Linked DNA regions of Anolis sagrei. The protein of the gene in region 1 binds, or shares a complex with, the protein of each later gene. Links are inferred from orthologs where the notes say so. Each region holds a gene or a part of one and is shown on either strand. Other genes may lie near its edges.

What was found.
Region 2: the proteins of KCND3 (region 1) and KCNIP1 are in contact, whole or in part, in a crystal structure (PDB 2NZ0), measured with the Homo sapiens proteins. The link is inferred for Anolis sagrei from reciprocal best matches to the Homo sapiens genes KCND3 and KCNIP1. Residues at the interface, in NP_001365898.1 of Homo sapiens: Ala6, Ala7, Trp8, Leu9, Pro10, Phe11, Ala12, Arg13, Ala14, Ala15, Ala16, Ile17, Gly18, Trp19, Pro21, Val22, Pro26, Met27, Pro28, Leu29, Ala30, Pro31, Lys34, Lys36, Arg37, Asp39, Trp54; in NP_001030009.1 of Homo sapiens: Leu67, Arg69, Gly70, Phe71, Glu74, Val80, Phe85, Ile88, Tyr89, Phe92, Phe93, Tyr101, Leu105, Phe109, Phe122, Ala125, Leu126, Leu129, Leu130, Leu138, Trp140, Thr141, Leu144, Tyr145, Ile161, Val162, Ile165, Tyr166, Met168, Met169.

The regions. Positions count from the first base shown.
Region 1 is NC_090024.1:199,882,359-199,890,460, forward strand, and holds the start of KCND3 (A-type voltage-gated potassium channel KCND3), read right to left. Parts: upstream 3,001-8,102; 5' UTR 2,732-3,000; intron 2,495-2,731; exon of another isoform or gene 2,025-2,494; intron 1,730-2,024; exon of another isoform or gene 1,645-1,729; intron 1-1,644. UniProt on the Homo sapiens protein: Pore-forming (alpha) subunit of voltage-gated A-type potassium channels that mediates transmembrane potassium transport in excitable membranes, in brain and heart. In cardiomyocytes, may generate the transient outward potassium current I(To).
Region 2 is NC_090022.1:103,582,633-103,589,952, reverse strand, and holds the start of KCNIP1 (A-type potassium channel modulatory protein KCNIP1), read left to right. Parts: upstream 1-4,268; 5' UTR 4,269-4,448; coding exon 4,449-4,677; intron 4,678-4,804; exon of another isoform or gene 4,805-5,236; intron 5,237-6,080; exon of another isoform or gene 6,081-6,145; coding exon of another isoform or gene 6,146-6,167; exon of another isoform or gene 6,168-6,689; intron 6,690-7,320. UniProt on the Homo sapiens protein: Regulatory subunit of Kv4/D (Shal)-type voltage-gated rapidly inactivating A-type potassium channels. Regulates channel density, inactivation kinetics and rate of recovery from inactivation in a calcium-dependent and isoform-specific manner.

The DNA.
Region 1 (8,102 bases):
CAATCTTCAAGTGTGTGCAAAAGTATTTTAAATGATATCTATTTTGATAGCCAGATGAGAAGAGGGTAAAGAAACACCCCCATGCACATGTGCACACATAAATATGTAGCATTTACAACAAGGACTGTGAGGTATGTAAAACACCATAAGAAAGGAAGTAAATTCTACAAAAGTGTTTTTCTCTTCCTATTGAACACAATGAAAAGGGAATTTTAGAGTTTTGATTAGACATACATTGTTAGAAATAATGTTAAGGTTGTTATGATGCCTTCAGACACCAATGTCATCCTAATGCCCTTCATCTAACAGACTGCTGTTGAGAGTAAGACTAGAAGGGCTTGTATGCACAAAGTGACCCTTTTGAGTTAAAGCAAATTTCAATGGACTGCAGAAGCAAACAGACCATATTTTTTCTAGTTAACCCAAAATGATACAACAAAAGCTATACACAGTGTCTCTTTCTTCAGCAAAACCTATACATAGTTTCTCTTTCTTGTTTCAAAATGACCTTTCCCCCAAAGATCTCATCTGTCTTGCCACTCCATTCCCCCCCCCCCCCTTTTTGTCCTTTTGGCATATAGACATAAGCCTTGTTTGGGCTACATCTTGCTTCACAGACAATAATTTGATTTCTTTTTGAAAAGACAAATCCACACTTCTTCCTGGAATTGATAGCACACCAAAGAAGAGAACTTCCAAGTTTATGCCTATTCACTCCGGAGGAGCACATATTTATTCCTGTTCACTCAGGAGGAACAGGAAAGAAGTGATGAATTTTCATCTCATTAACTTCTGCCAACTATGCCAATATTTCGGAATGCCTCCGAACATCCTTAGCTAGGATTTGTTTAAAAAGATTTATAAGTATTTATAAGTACTATCTATACAAACAGACCACAACAGTGCTAAAGGATAATAGCTGACAAACTAGAATGGGAGTTTCATAGAAAAGAAGTTTGGGTGGAAAATACTATGCCGAGTCTTTACTTGATTGTCTTTTAAAATATGGGTCAGGCTCCAGATTCAAGTATCCTTTCATTTAAAATGCAAGTTCAGGAAAGGCTTCTACACCCTTTTTCAATTAATCTCTCATCACCCTTATTCTCTATGGTGGGGAATAATAAAACTATTTGCAAAGGATTTCCTCTCTTCTTTCCCCAGCAAAGCTAAAAAGCAACAGGATAAAAGCATGCAAACTTCACTTGTCCTATCCAACCTCCCATTCAGCATCACACCAATGGCTTGACCTTAACTGGAGCCCCCGGTGGCATAAAGGGTTAAACCCTTGTGCTGGCAGGACTGAAGACTGACAAGACAGAGGTTGGAATCTGAGAAGAGCATGGATGAGCTCCCTCTGTCAGCTCCAGCTCCCCATGTGGGGACATGAGAAAAGCCTCTCACAAGAATGGTAAAACATCAAAACATCCGGGTGTCCCCTGGCCAACATCTTTGCAGACGGCCAACTCTCTTACATCAGAAGCGACCTGCAGTTTCTCAAGTTGCTCCTGACACACACACACACACACTTAAAGTAAAAGGAAATAATTGCCTAGTGCCCATATAATACAGGAGGGGATCTACACAGGCATAGAGAAGAGAGATAAAGATTCGTCCTTGAGAAGAAATGTTAATGATCTTGCCTACCTCTGGATTCTCCAGATGCAGGTTGCAGGACTCAGACAACGTCATTAGCCCCGGGGAAGGTGACTAAACAGCTTTCCTTGTTATTGCTGTGCTTGATAAACTACTGAGTTGGAATGCATATCAACACAACCAACCACCCTCCAATCCATCTTGTGGATTCACTGTGTGAACCTGATCAGACTGGTGAGTCTCCTCTAGCGCTTCCAACTTTCTCCTCTCAGAGGATTCAGAGACCAAGATTCAAGCGCCTCTCTTGGAAAGAAAGAGGTTTGGAAACATACCTTAGGCACTGAGGGCAACATCCAAGAGAAACCGTCCACACAAACAAAATGCGTGGCAAAGAATGGGGATGTGATGCTGGCGAGGGACAGAAAAATTACCTGTTGGCTCCTTCGGTGCCCTTGCCCTGGTAGCTCTTGCCGGCAAAGTTTCTCATTCCTACTCCCTTGCTTTCCAAGGGAAGGAGAGACAACTCTTCAGTTCATCGCTGCCTCCCTGGACACATAGTCTCCGCGCCTTCGGTTGTCTACAATCCCTCCCACCCCGAGGAGGGCAAAGCCTCATGTCCTTCAGGTCCCCCTTTTGCTAAAACTTCACTTCTGCGTTGGGTTAGGTCCGTTTTCCACGACACCGCACCCGACGGGCGCACTCTTAGCCGGGAGGGAGCGAGGGATGCGGAGCGGAGCCACTTGGAGAAAGTCAGACCAAATGTGGACTCGGAATACAGAGGCGCTGGGCTGCCTTTTCCTCCCCGCGTGCGTCATCTCGTTGGGAGATTCAGATTATACTTAAGCGGGGTATGTGTGTGTGCGCGCGTGTGTGTAGGAGTTCAGCAGAAGGAGCTGATGCGCGAGTTGGCAGAGGGCGGGAAGCCAGAACACGGGAGAGAAAAGGCAGGAGGGGAACGGGGGCGGGGGGGGGGGGGGAGAAGAAGGGTGATGCCTGTTCCTCCCCACTTGCAGGTAGGACTTCCAAGGAGAGAGGCAAACTCGTGCCTCTTCCCTGCCTGGAAGGGGAATCCGCCCCTCCCCGCGGCTCACACACACACAGCCCCCTCCCCTCCTGCCCCACCGCCTGCCTTCCTTACCTCCTGGGCCGGGGGCTCACTCGCCACGCCGCGCCACGCCACGCCATCCCCTTCCCGAGCCCCTGCTCCGCAGATAGGGCTGAGAGGTTGCCATCCAGATGCTGAAGGCGGGCACTCCCGCTGCCCAGAGGGGCGGAGGGAGGGAGGGAGGCGCTCTCTCGCTCGCTCTCTCGCTCGCTGGGGGCGCTCGGATCCCAATCGGGGCGCGGAAGCTGGCGGAGGCGCTCCTCCGACGTTGTCCAAGGGGCTTGCCTCTCCGGCTGCGTCGCCCCGCGCGGCAGATAGATGGCGCCCTCCCCAAAGCTTCCGCGGCTTGCCTTTGGCCCCGCCTATGCCCAACGCACGGGGCTGGGAGCGAGGCGCGGTTCAGCACCAGGGCGCGGCGGACAGCGCCCAGCGCGCCGAAGGCAACTCGACAAGGTTCAAGCCCAGCCCTAGAAGGCAGTCACCTCCCGGGCTCTTGGAAGGAAGGAAGGAAGGAAGGAAGGAAGGAAGGAAGGAAGGAAGGAAGGAAGGAAGGAAGGAAGGAAGGAAGGAAGGAAGGAAGGAAGGAAGGAAGGAAGGAAGGAAGGAAGGAAGGAAGGAAGGATTCAGATCTAAGAGTGACCCCAAGCATGGCAGCGGGTCGCGATCTCACAGCTGGAGCACCGTTTATACTGACCATTTAAGGTCCTTTCTAACATTTACTGAGGAAAGTGCTTTCTCTGTGCAGATTATTACATAGGAAATCGTGGAACCAGTTTGAGACCGAATGGTGATTGCACAAGACAGTGCTTCCTTTCAGATGCGGTTCTGGGAGTTTGTTGACTGGCCACCACAGTTGGAAGCTACCTTCATAGAATCATAGAATCAAAGAGTTGGAAGAGACCTTGGCATCTAACCCCCTGCCAAGAAGCAGGAATATTGCATTCAAAACACCCCTGATAGATGGCCATACAGCCTCTGTTTAAAAGCTTCCAAAGAAGGAGCCTCCACCACACTCCGGGGCATAGAGTTCCATTGCTGAACGGCTCTCACAGTCAGGAAGTTCTTCCTCATGTTTAGATGGAATCTCCTTTCTTGTAGTTTGAAGCCAGAGAAACAGAAAACAAGCTTGCTCCCTCCTCCCTGTGGCTTCCTTTCACATATTTATACATGGCTATCATATCTCCTCTCAGCCTTCTCTTCTTCAGGCTAAACATGCCCAGCTCCTTAAGCCACTCCTCACAGGGCTTGATCAGACCCTTGATCATTTTAGTCGCCCTCCTCTGGACACATTCCAGCTTGTCAATATCTCTCTTGAATTGTGGTGCCCAGAATTGGATACAATATTCCAGGTGTGGTCTAACCAAAGCAGAATAAAGGGGTAGCATTACTTCCCTAGATCTAGGGAAGCTGCATTAGATGGGGCCTGATATCCCTAATGTAAAGAGACAAGTTTAGAGTGCAGAATTCATTCCCACATAAGAGGGACAGTAGTTCCCGAAGAAGATCAAGGCAGTCCATACTCCAGGAAATAATGCCCAGCTGCTCATTGGAGGGAAGGATAGGTAAAGGTAAGTCCAGTTGTGTCCAACTCTGGGGACTGGGGCTCATGTCCATTTCTAAACTGAAGAGCCGGCATTATCCATAGACACCTCCAAGGTCATGTGGCTGGCATGACTGCATGGAGCGCTGTTATCTTCCCACCAGAGCTGTACCTATTGATCTACTTACATTTGCATGTTTTTGAACTGCTAGATTGGCAGAAGCTGAGGCTAAACAGCAGGAGCTCACGCTGCTCCCCAGATTTGAACCTGTGACCTTTTGGTTAGAAAGTTCAGCAGCTCAGTGGTTTAACCCACTGAGCCACTGGGGGCACCATTAATGCTCGCAAATGGCCAAGCCCAGCTCTAGGTAGGCAATCACCTCCTGGGCTCTTGCTGTTGCGAAAGGAAGGACTCCGATCTGAGAGTGACCCCAAGCATGGCAGTGGGTCATGATCTCACAGCTGGGCACTCCTCTATACTGACCATTTAAGGCAGTTTATAACATATATTGTCAAAGGCTTTCATGGCTGGAATGACTAGGTTGTTGTAGATTTTCCGGGCTGTATGGCCATGTTCTAGAAGCATTCCCTCCTGATATTTCACTTGCATCTGATGATATTTAATTATCTTTAACTTTTAACATAATCAAGTTTTAATTGTGTTTTAATGTATATTCACTATTACAGGAGTTTTAGGACAGTGAGTAGTGTCTATTTGTGTATTTTCTTGTTTTTGTCTTTTATTGTTGATATGGTCAGTGGACTAATCAATAAACTTTACTATTGCCTGCATCTATGCCAGGCATCCTCATAAGACCTCACAAGACCTCACAACCATAGATGCAGGCAAAACGTCAGGAGAAAATGCTTCTAGAACATGGCCATACAGCCCGAAAAACCTACAACAACCCAGTTTCTAACATTTACTGAGGAAATAGATTTCTCTGTGCAGCTGATTACACAGGAAATCTTGGAACCAGTTTGAGACCAAATGGTGATTGCGCAAGACACAGAGCACTGATGTACACTAAGGGCTTCCCTTCATGCATGTTTCTGGGAGATTGTTGCCTGGCCGCCACAGTTGAAAGCTATCTTCAAACTGCATCCCTAATGTAATGAGGCAAATTTAGAGTGCAGAAATCAGTCCCACATTTGGGAGGCAGTAGTTCCCCAAGAAGATCAAAGCAGTCCATAACTCCAGGAAATAATGCCCAGCTGCTCATTGGAGGGAAGGATATTAGAGGCAAAGCTGAAGTATAGTAGAGTCTCACTTATCCAACATAAATGTGCCGGCAGGACATTGGATAAGCAAAAATGTTGGATACTTAGAAGGGATCAAGGAAATGCCTATTAAACATTAAATTGTTATGATTTTACAGATTAAGCACCAAAACATAATATTTTACAATAAATCGACAGAAAAAGCAATTCAGTTCATGGTAAATAAATAAATTTGTAAATACAGTAATTATTGTATTTACAAATTTAGCACCAAAACCTCACAATATATTGAAACAGCTATGGATTTGGGCAAGACACAGACTGCGTTGGATAATACAGAATGTTGGATGAGAGAAGGTTGGATAAGGGAGACTCTACTTTGGCCACATAATGAGAAGATAGGAAATCTTGGAGAAGATAATGATGTTGGGCCAATGGAAGGAAAAAGGAAGAGGGGATGACCAAGGATAAGAAGGATGGATGGCATCCTTGAAGTGACTGGCTTAAACTTGAAGGAGCTGGGGGTGACCACGGCCAACAGTGAGCTCTGCGTGGGCTGGTCCATGAGGTTATGAAGAGTCAGAAGTGACTGAACAAATAAACAATAAACAGTAGTTGCTCTCATGCCTCTGTGTAACCAGGGAGGGAGATGTTAATCTTCATATAAAAGAAATATTCATGTAGTGCCACCTTTTCATCTAGAACAGGCGTCCCCAAACTAAGGCCCAGGGGCCGGATGCGGCCCTCCAAGGTCATTTACCCGGCCCTCACTCAGGGTCAGCTTAAGTCTGAAATGACTTGAAAGCACACAAAAACAACAACAACAACAACAATCCTATCTCATCAGCCAAAAGCAGACCACCCTTCCCATTGAAATACTAATAAGTTTATATTTATTGAATTGTTCTTCATTTTAATTATTGTATTGTTTTTAAGTGTTTTTTGCACTACAAATAAGACATGTGCAGTGTGCATAGGAATTAATTCATGTTTTTTTTTTTCAAATTATAATCCGGCCCTCCAACATTTTGAGGGACTGTGACCTGGCCCTCTGTTTAAAAAGTTTGTGGACCCCTGATCTAGAAGTACTCAGGAAGCAGAGTTTTTGCCTGTCACAGTTGAAAGCACTGAACTACCTGGACCAGTGGTTCTCAACCTCTGGGTCCCCAAATGCTTTGGCTTCAACTCCCAGAAATCCTAACAAATGGTAAACTGGCTGGAATTTCTGAAAGTTGTAGGCCAAAACACCTGGGGACCCACAGGTTGAAAACCACTGGTCTAGGTAGTTCAGTGCTTTCAACTGTGACAGGCAAAAACTCTGCAAGAATTTCTGAAATAATTATTTCCTAGATGTAGGGTTCATTGTCACTGTAGAATTAATGTGTTTTGATACCCTTTTCACAGCTACAGCTTAATGCTATGGACTAATAGGAGTTGTAGTTTGGTGAGAGAACATCATTCTTGGGCAGAAGCAGAGAAGGATAAAGATATTGTAAAGCTACAATTCCCATGATTCCATAGCAGTGAGCCAGGGCCATTCAATTGATTTAGCATCCTCCCCATGGTACAAAAGGAAGGGATTTGGACTTTGGATGTGATACTGGCAGCAGAGGCTAGCAATCAATGGACTTAGACTAGTGGTAGGAAAGGAGGCAGCTCCATGAGGCAGAGACTTGCTAAGCACTCGGGTGTCACCAGCAGGTGTCAGTCAAGATGAGGAGGAGGCTTGCCAAGAGTGGGAGATGTTAATAGTTTCCATGCAATAGACATGTGAGTCCATGTTTTCTCCATTCTTAAAAGTACACAACAACAACTACAGGGAAATTTTGGCGACAAATGGAATCATAATGAAAAGGCAGCACTCAGATCCAGGGGAGATGAGATCCTGTAGATTTTGTCTAGATCATAAGCCTACAATTTGGGAACTGGTATAGGGGTTGAGAGCAAATCTCTTTCAAAGCCAAAGATCTGGTCCATTGGGTTTTGCTTTTGCCAATGCCAAATTTGTAAGTTGATTTTCAGTTAATAAACTTAATGTTGTTGGGGCTTCTAATCAACTCACTTCATGTGCCACCCCTTTTTACTTTGGAGGGAGGCACAGAAATGTATGTAAAATGCCAAATATGAAAAGTGACTTTTTTAAAAAAAAATCTGGGGGGAGGGTAGATGGAATGTTAAAACCGGGATGCTCTCATATGTCCTGATTTATAGATGGCAGGCATCCATGGCATTATGAATAATGGAGGAATCTTTTTCACTTCTTCAGGTAATTATCTCAAAAGCTTTTCTTAAGCAATTGAGTGTAGAGCTCAGCTCACTAAAACACTATACATCTCAAATAGTGAATGGCCTCTTAAATCTAGGGTCATAAAAGCATATACATCTCCAAACAATTAATGAATGAAAGCAAAAGCAGGCAGTAGTTTAGTTTGTCTGTGGACCTCTACTGAGAAATTTTGGCAGAAATCTTGGAAGTAAATAAAATATGATCAATATTTTTCAAATATAGACTTTTAAAAAAATGGAGTGCTACATCATATTTAATATGTAGTAAGAGGGCTTTGCCCAATAAGTGCCTTCAACAACTAAAGAAATATTGGTAATAAATATATAGTGATGTCATATGGATTCTAATATTGCTAA
Region 2 (7,320 bases), on another chromosome or scaffold:
GGAGTTGTACCTTCATATTTAATACATTTTAGACAATCTAGTGAAAGCTCTTAGGTACCCCATGTTATTCTAGGTGGATTAAGGTAACTGTTGTTTTCATGTGAAAAGGCAAATTAGAAATTTGTTACTATATGCCATTAAACAGGCTTCATATAATGGTGATCCTATGAATGAAAAACCTTCAAGAGATTGGAGTTTCATTATCACATAATATGAAATACATTCTCCAGATCAGCCATTCTAGAAATAATCTTCTCTTCACAGAAATATATTACTTTTTATTATTCATAGTAATTGCTTTTCAGTATGCAGCCATTTGCCATTCGTAGCTCATTTATGATCACAGGAACACTGTGAGAACCATAAAGTATTTGATCCAATCTCATGACTTTGCTTCAGAGTTTGTGGCCAGTATACTTTAGTTAAGAGAGAGAGGTCAGGCACCAGAGCAATGGGGAAATTCTGGAAATTGTGATCTCACAATACCTTGAAAGACAAATTATCTCCACCCCTGGTTTTTAACATTCAGAGCTTGAAATACACATAACGCATCACCAGTAATAACATGGGACAAAGTGCTGTTGGGGGGTTATGGATAAACTAACCTTCACAATTTGGGTAACACCTAGGAAACATGAAAGTCTCTCCATTCCTACTTATGAAGAAGCAGCCATTGAAATCCCCTGTCACTTGGAAAGCAGCTTATTGGTATTCCCAGCCTCCATCATGCCAACAATTTGTGCTGTGAGGGGGAACTCTGACAAAGACCACAATTCTGCAAGAGAGTGGTGGAAATCTTAGTCTGCCACTCTCCAAGTTATAGGGAAACTGACTCCATCAACTGTAGCAACTGCTTTTGTAGCAAGTGACAATGGGAAGAATTGGGCTGGAATTCTCTCATAGCTCTGTACCCACAGTAGTTATACTGTACATTTGTAACTCCTCAATATGATCCAGGCTCCAGGGCCGTAGCCAGAAAAATTTTTTGGGAGGGGTTGAAATTTTCAGGGGGGAGGGGTTGAAAATTTTGCGGGGGGGGGGGGGGGGTTGAAACCTGACTTCTAGCTCACGCTGAAGCATAGGGCACAGCAGGGGGCAGAGCAGCCTTCAATAGCCTGCAGCTCCACCCCTGTCAACCACCTCCACCAAGTCTGGCCTCCTTAATGAGAGAATTCAACACACACACACACACAACTTGGTTGCTTCACTACATCGGCTATTGCTGCAAGTAATGACAGTGTGAATAAATTGTCAATATTTAAGGCCTTGCATGGTCTGGGGCCGATGTACCTGAGGGACCGCCTCACCCCCTACCAACCCCAGAGATCCCTCCGTTCTGAGGACCAAGATCTATTGGAAATTCCCAGTGTCAAGACCTTGCGTCTAACAGCAACCAGACGCAGAGCTTTTACAGCAGTGGCACCATCACTCTGGAATACTCTGCCACCTGAGGTCCGTGCCTTGCGGAACTTATCAGCTTTCCACAGGGCATGTAAGACATATCTTGTATGTGTTTTTATGGTTGGAAACCGGGCTGAGTCCCTCAATGAGGTGAGAAGGTCGGTATAGAAAACTTTGAAATAAATATAAATATAATAAATATCTGTTTCGACGGGCCTTTGATCTCTGATATTGCTGTTTTTAAATTCAGTTCTTGTGGGTTTTTTCGGGCTATATGGCCATGTTCTAGAGGCATTTCTCCTGACGTTTCGCCTGTTTTTAAATTGTTTTAAATTGTGTTCGATTTTAGCCTGTTCTTGTAAGCCGCTCCGAGCCCCAGGGGAGTGGCGGCATATACGTTCGAATAATAAATAAATATTTGCTTGAGATAGTGCTTGTAGTTCTGGAGGGACTCTTAATTTTTTGCATCTCATAGACTTAGCATGGGGATTTGGTTAACCAGTTAAAATTCATGAGTAAACTGGGTTTTTTAAAAAAAAAACCTGAAACATTTCGGGGGGGGGGTTGAACCCCTAACCCCCCCCCCCTCGCTACAGGCCTGGATCCAGCCCATACCTATAACACATTATTTTAGGGGAAAGTGGGCATAATATCATTTTATAGCATTATATAATGATGAATAATACTATTAGATTGTTATAGAATCATTTCCTAATTGATCCTAAAACATTGTTTTTGGAGGAGTCTGATCTGGGACATGTGTTTTTTTTTTATTTTAACTAACTAAAAACATGTCAGCATTACTCATATAGTGTCAAGTGACTACTATTGTCAATGAGACCCTCCCAATGTTTCTCTAGTCATCTTCCTCAAATATTGCATCCTTGACTGTTTTGCCATTTGTAGGATATAAAAGAACAGGAACCAATATGTTTCCCATTAAAGTACAACATCTTTGTCCAAATAGGACATGTTTCCCGACTTTGAATGAATACATGGAATTGCAGATAACAATGAAACCTTCTTTCTGAAGAATACTCGAGAGTTGACTGGAGGATCTATAAAATGCTTAGAGATTATGTATTTTGTCAGACATGGGTGAATAAAACACTGGGTATTGGTCTTACAGATACAGGGTCAAATGCAAGTTCATGTTGAGTAGAAATACATGTGGAGAAGAAGAATTAATCAGTCTCTTCTGCCAATTTGGCCATATTTAAATGTATGACCTGCTGGGTTTGCTTTTGAAAAGGTTTTAGAAAATATAAAAGATATTACTTTCTACACACACACACACAATGAAATTTTGAGCTTTATTAAATATGATCAGATATTTGAATCAGGATCTCATATCATTTCTAAGAAAACAAGATGCTATTTGTGATGTCTATATCTGCCTGTTCTTCAAATTTCACAGAAATTCAGAACACAGATTTATCAACAGGATGTACATCTTAATTTTCCATACTGGGTGAATTTGGGCACACTCTTTCAGCAAAGTCCTTTGAACAAATCTTGCTAATCTCACCATAAGTCAGAAATGACTGGAAGGCACACAACAACAAACACAGAATTATGTTTTATTTAAATTGGATTTTATTTACTGGGGCACTACATTTTGCTTTTCCAACTGGATCATGGAGAAAAAATCTTTAATCAATAGTAGCAGACTAGAGTACATCTGGATCCACTCAGGAACTATGCCAGATTTGGTAGGACTTTGGTATGCTATCCCCGTGGGACACTGGGTAATAAAAGCCCATCCCTTATAATCTTACGCAGACCCTGGATCCTGTGGCCAATACTGCAGCTACTGCTACTAACCCTTCACCCCTCCCCTGTATATATTTACCATAAGGGTCATAGCAGAAGTAGTGCAGTGGAAATAGGAAATATAGCTATGGGGCAGGTATTTCTATCCCACTCATTTCCAAAGCATGATGGGCAACTGGCAACTTATCACACACACAAACACCTTAGTTTAATGGTCTAAAGACATTATATTTGATATTTAAGGGCAGTGAAATTGAGAGACAACCCAGAGACAAGCAGCAGCTGGTTTGGCTGCCTTCATGTTGCCACCCACTAGTGTCTAGAGATGGAGAGCAGGCTTATTGGTAGTAGCTGCAGTAGCAGAATGGGTGATACTTGACAGGAAATGAGAACACAGTCTGGAGCCTTAAAACTATTGGCAAGTGTCTCACCCCAACAACCTCTAATGCTAGTGATATATGCTGTTGTATATAACACATGGTATAGGTGCCATGGAGAGACAGCATAGTGTGGTGATTTGAGAATTTGATTACATCTCTAAAGACCACTGAGTGACCTTTGGCAAGTCTCACTTTCAACCTCAGAAAACCTCATGGATTTGCCTTAGGGCTGCCATAAATTTGAAATTATTTGAAGAGACAACACATAGGTACTATGTTATATATCTATACCATGGTATAGGGGCCCACATCAGAAATTTGTAACAGGAGGCACTTGCCAATAGCTTTGAGACAGACCCCTCACTAACTCTCCAGCCCTCTCATCTCTGTTTTCCTGATCTCCTGTTTCATGTTGCTGATGTTGGATCTATCCTTTGGGTGGTCTGAACAGTTCTTAGGGAGTATTCTCAATTACAAGAAAGCAAAAAGTCATAATCAAATGATCAGGGGGAAAATGGGCATAGGAAGTGACTCAAAATCTTTTTTAGCAAGAAAGGGGGAAGACACTACCATTTGAGCAGAGAGCAACATACAATCTCAAAGGCAAAATAACTCTCGGACCCACAGTTGCTGAGGTTAGCAACATGGTGTTAAGTTGTAAATGAGCAGCATAAACTGTTGAGACAGTTGCCCTGGAAAGGGAGAGGGAGAGGGAGATGGAGGAGAGGGAGAGAAGGAGGGAGAGAAAAGGGAATCAAACTCAGGTTAAAAATTTAGAAGAGAGAAAGGCTGGAAGAGTGTGAGATTGGGGAAAGGCGGAGGAACAGGGACAGGGTGAGACTCACACTCCCGCACAAAGAGAGACAGAGGGACGAAAGAGAGAGAAAATGAGCCATGCACTTAAGGAGCAGCAGGAAGAAAAGCTTCAAACAGCTGATTTCCACCCTGCTTTCAATCCCTGCCTGTCGCTTCACTAGCACACCAGAGCCTACTATCTGGGTGTTATCTGAAAAGATGTGGAGCAAAGGAGAGTCTGAAGGGCTGCAGACTTTAGGGATTGTGGTGGTGATTTGCTCTTCTCTGAAACTTTTGCACTACCTTGGATTAATTGACTTATCAGATGGTAAGAGAACCTCCAAGTTTTACCACCTCCTCTATACTTTTTCTTTAACTATAGTGGCACTCTGAGCTTGCGATTCTGTGCCCAGCTACCCCAAGGGTAAGCTTTGCTGAAATCAGTAAAGACTTACCTTTGAGTAGACATGTATAGGATGGCACTGTGAGAAAGACCATTTCGTTTTTCTCGTATGGCTGTTTTTCCTTCTTCAAATCTCTTCCTTGCTTCATTCTGCAGTGCTGAATTGTGTAGTGTGCTCTTGCAAGCTTCTGGGATTCCTGTTAAGTAGTATGTTTACATTGTGTGTATGTGTGCTCTTTTTCCAGTTCTGAAATTGTCAAATATCTTCCTGTAAGTACTGCTTCACCATCATTCACCTCCTGTGTGGTGATTATGTTTCATTTGGATTAATTGTAAAGCATCTAATTCTTAGGACTCTGAGATGTGCATAGAACATGTTGAGATAGAGAGAAGTAGCTTAAACATGTCTACTCACAAAGAAGTCCCAGGCTATACAGAGGCATGCTTTTCTTTCCACCAAATACACTTTTGGATGCTTTAAAAATTAAATGACAGATGGCCACCCACGACAACTCAGGAGACAAGCAGCAACTGAAATTTTGCTCTCTAATATAAGCCCCCTCCTATTTATTATTGGAAATATTAGAGATGAATAGATTTTTACCTAGGAATGCATGTCAAGTTTGGGGGGGGGGGTTGAATCTGTTTTCCATATCTTAACAAAGTTTAACACTCATGGTTATGCTTATGGAATACATTAAAAATCAATGTATTTTCACAAAAGTGAATGCTCAAAATGAAAATAATAGTATATAATCCCTCTCATTTTACTCTTTTTACTTTTGGGGAGTGGGGCACTGCTAATAAATATGCTATGTTTACTTTCTCGAACACCTGTTTGAAGTTATTCTAAAGGCAGTACTTAACAATTATTAAATTAGGCTGAAACATGAAATCAACGATATATACACAAAACAGTAAATGAGACTGCAGTGTATACACTGAACTTCGGAGGGAGTTCTGCTGAACTTTGGGCTCACTTCAGAGCATGTGATTATATCAATAAAAGTTTGTCCCTTTCTTTATCAAGTAGAGGAGAAACTATCAGAAGACCAATAGTCACCCCTATAGTTAAACTACTTCTGTTCTATCTGGATTAAAACTTGCCTTGGAAAAAAGTAATAAATGCATTTTAATATGCAATTATTATCTAAGGAAATATTGATCTAGGTAAGTATTGACCAACAGTTGTCATTGATCTCAAATCATTTTAAGTATTCTGATTTTAAATGCAATAATAGATCAATTTACCCTGATAGGAAATGGAATCCATTGAGATGTCTGCAAGACAAAATAAAAATGGCATTAATAAACCACCAAAGTAGGATGGTATCAAGAAAGGGACTCACCTTAGTGCATTACGAAAGGAAGCAATTTGAAATTCTGCAGCAGCATGCATTGGCAGAGCCGTCCATGTGAGTGCAAGGTTTCTTTTCTGTTTGTTCTTGGCTGTAATTCCAACTGTGAAATTCTGTTGTTTCCAAAAAGATAAATCACTTGTTTTGTATTAACACCATGCTCCTGGAAAAATCAAATTGCTGTAATCAGTTTGTGGAGGAAGCTCTAGCACAGTGCAATACTAGATCTTTATAAGTTGCAATCAGGGCATAATTGTGTTTCTGAATCATTTACTAGGGCTGCTGCCATCACAAAATCCTGGATGAGAGGAAAATTTGAAACAAGTTTTTGTCTGTTTGTTTGTTTGTCATAGCTAGCGTATTGTGCAAGAGCGCCATTCAGCTTCATTCAAGCACTGCAACAGTATGCCTGTTAAATCTTTGCAGTAAGCAGTCTCTCCTAATCCAACATCACTCTGGGCTGATGGGCTACATCTTTTCTGCAGCTTTGCTTGTTAATTGCTGCTGCCTTTCAGGCTGTAAAACCATGCTCACAGGACTCAGCAGTGTGCTCTGTAACCTGCTGTTAAAAATGCTTAGAAGTTCAGAGTTTATCTTCTCTCAGGCCTCCTAAAATCTTGAGCCGATGCAGAGCCATGGTACTTAGCACCTACATGGAAAAATCATCTGAAATAAACAAAGTAAACTGTAGTTGCAGTATTGTTACATGGGTTAAGGGAATTCATTACCCAGGTTTTTTGAATGCAAGTTGTTTTCCCTCTCTGCCTTCTTTTTTTCTATCATCGTATTTTGACTTTTTGAGAGACAGTGGCAAATATGGTGAACACCCATGACCAAGAAACTGTAGTGTAGGCTGTCTTGCGGGATGACAATTTTATTTGTTTTCTTTTTTAGTATGTATGCTTCTGAAAGGGACAAACTTGTCATATTAGCAATTATAGCAGAGCCGCGGTGGTGCAATGGGTTAAACCCTTGTGCCGGCTGAACTGCTGACCTGAAGACCTGAAGGTTGGCCATGCAAATCCACAAGATGAGGTGAGCCCCCATCTGTCAGCCCCAACTTCCTATGCAGGGACATGTGAGAAGCTTCTCACAGGATGTTAACACCTCTGGGCATTCCCTAGGCAACGTCCTTGCAGATGCCCAATTCTCTCACACATCCAGTATATTCTCAATTTGCTTCTGACACAATTTTAAAAAACAATGGTAT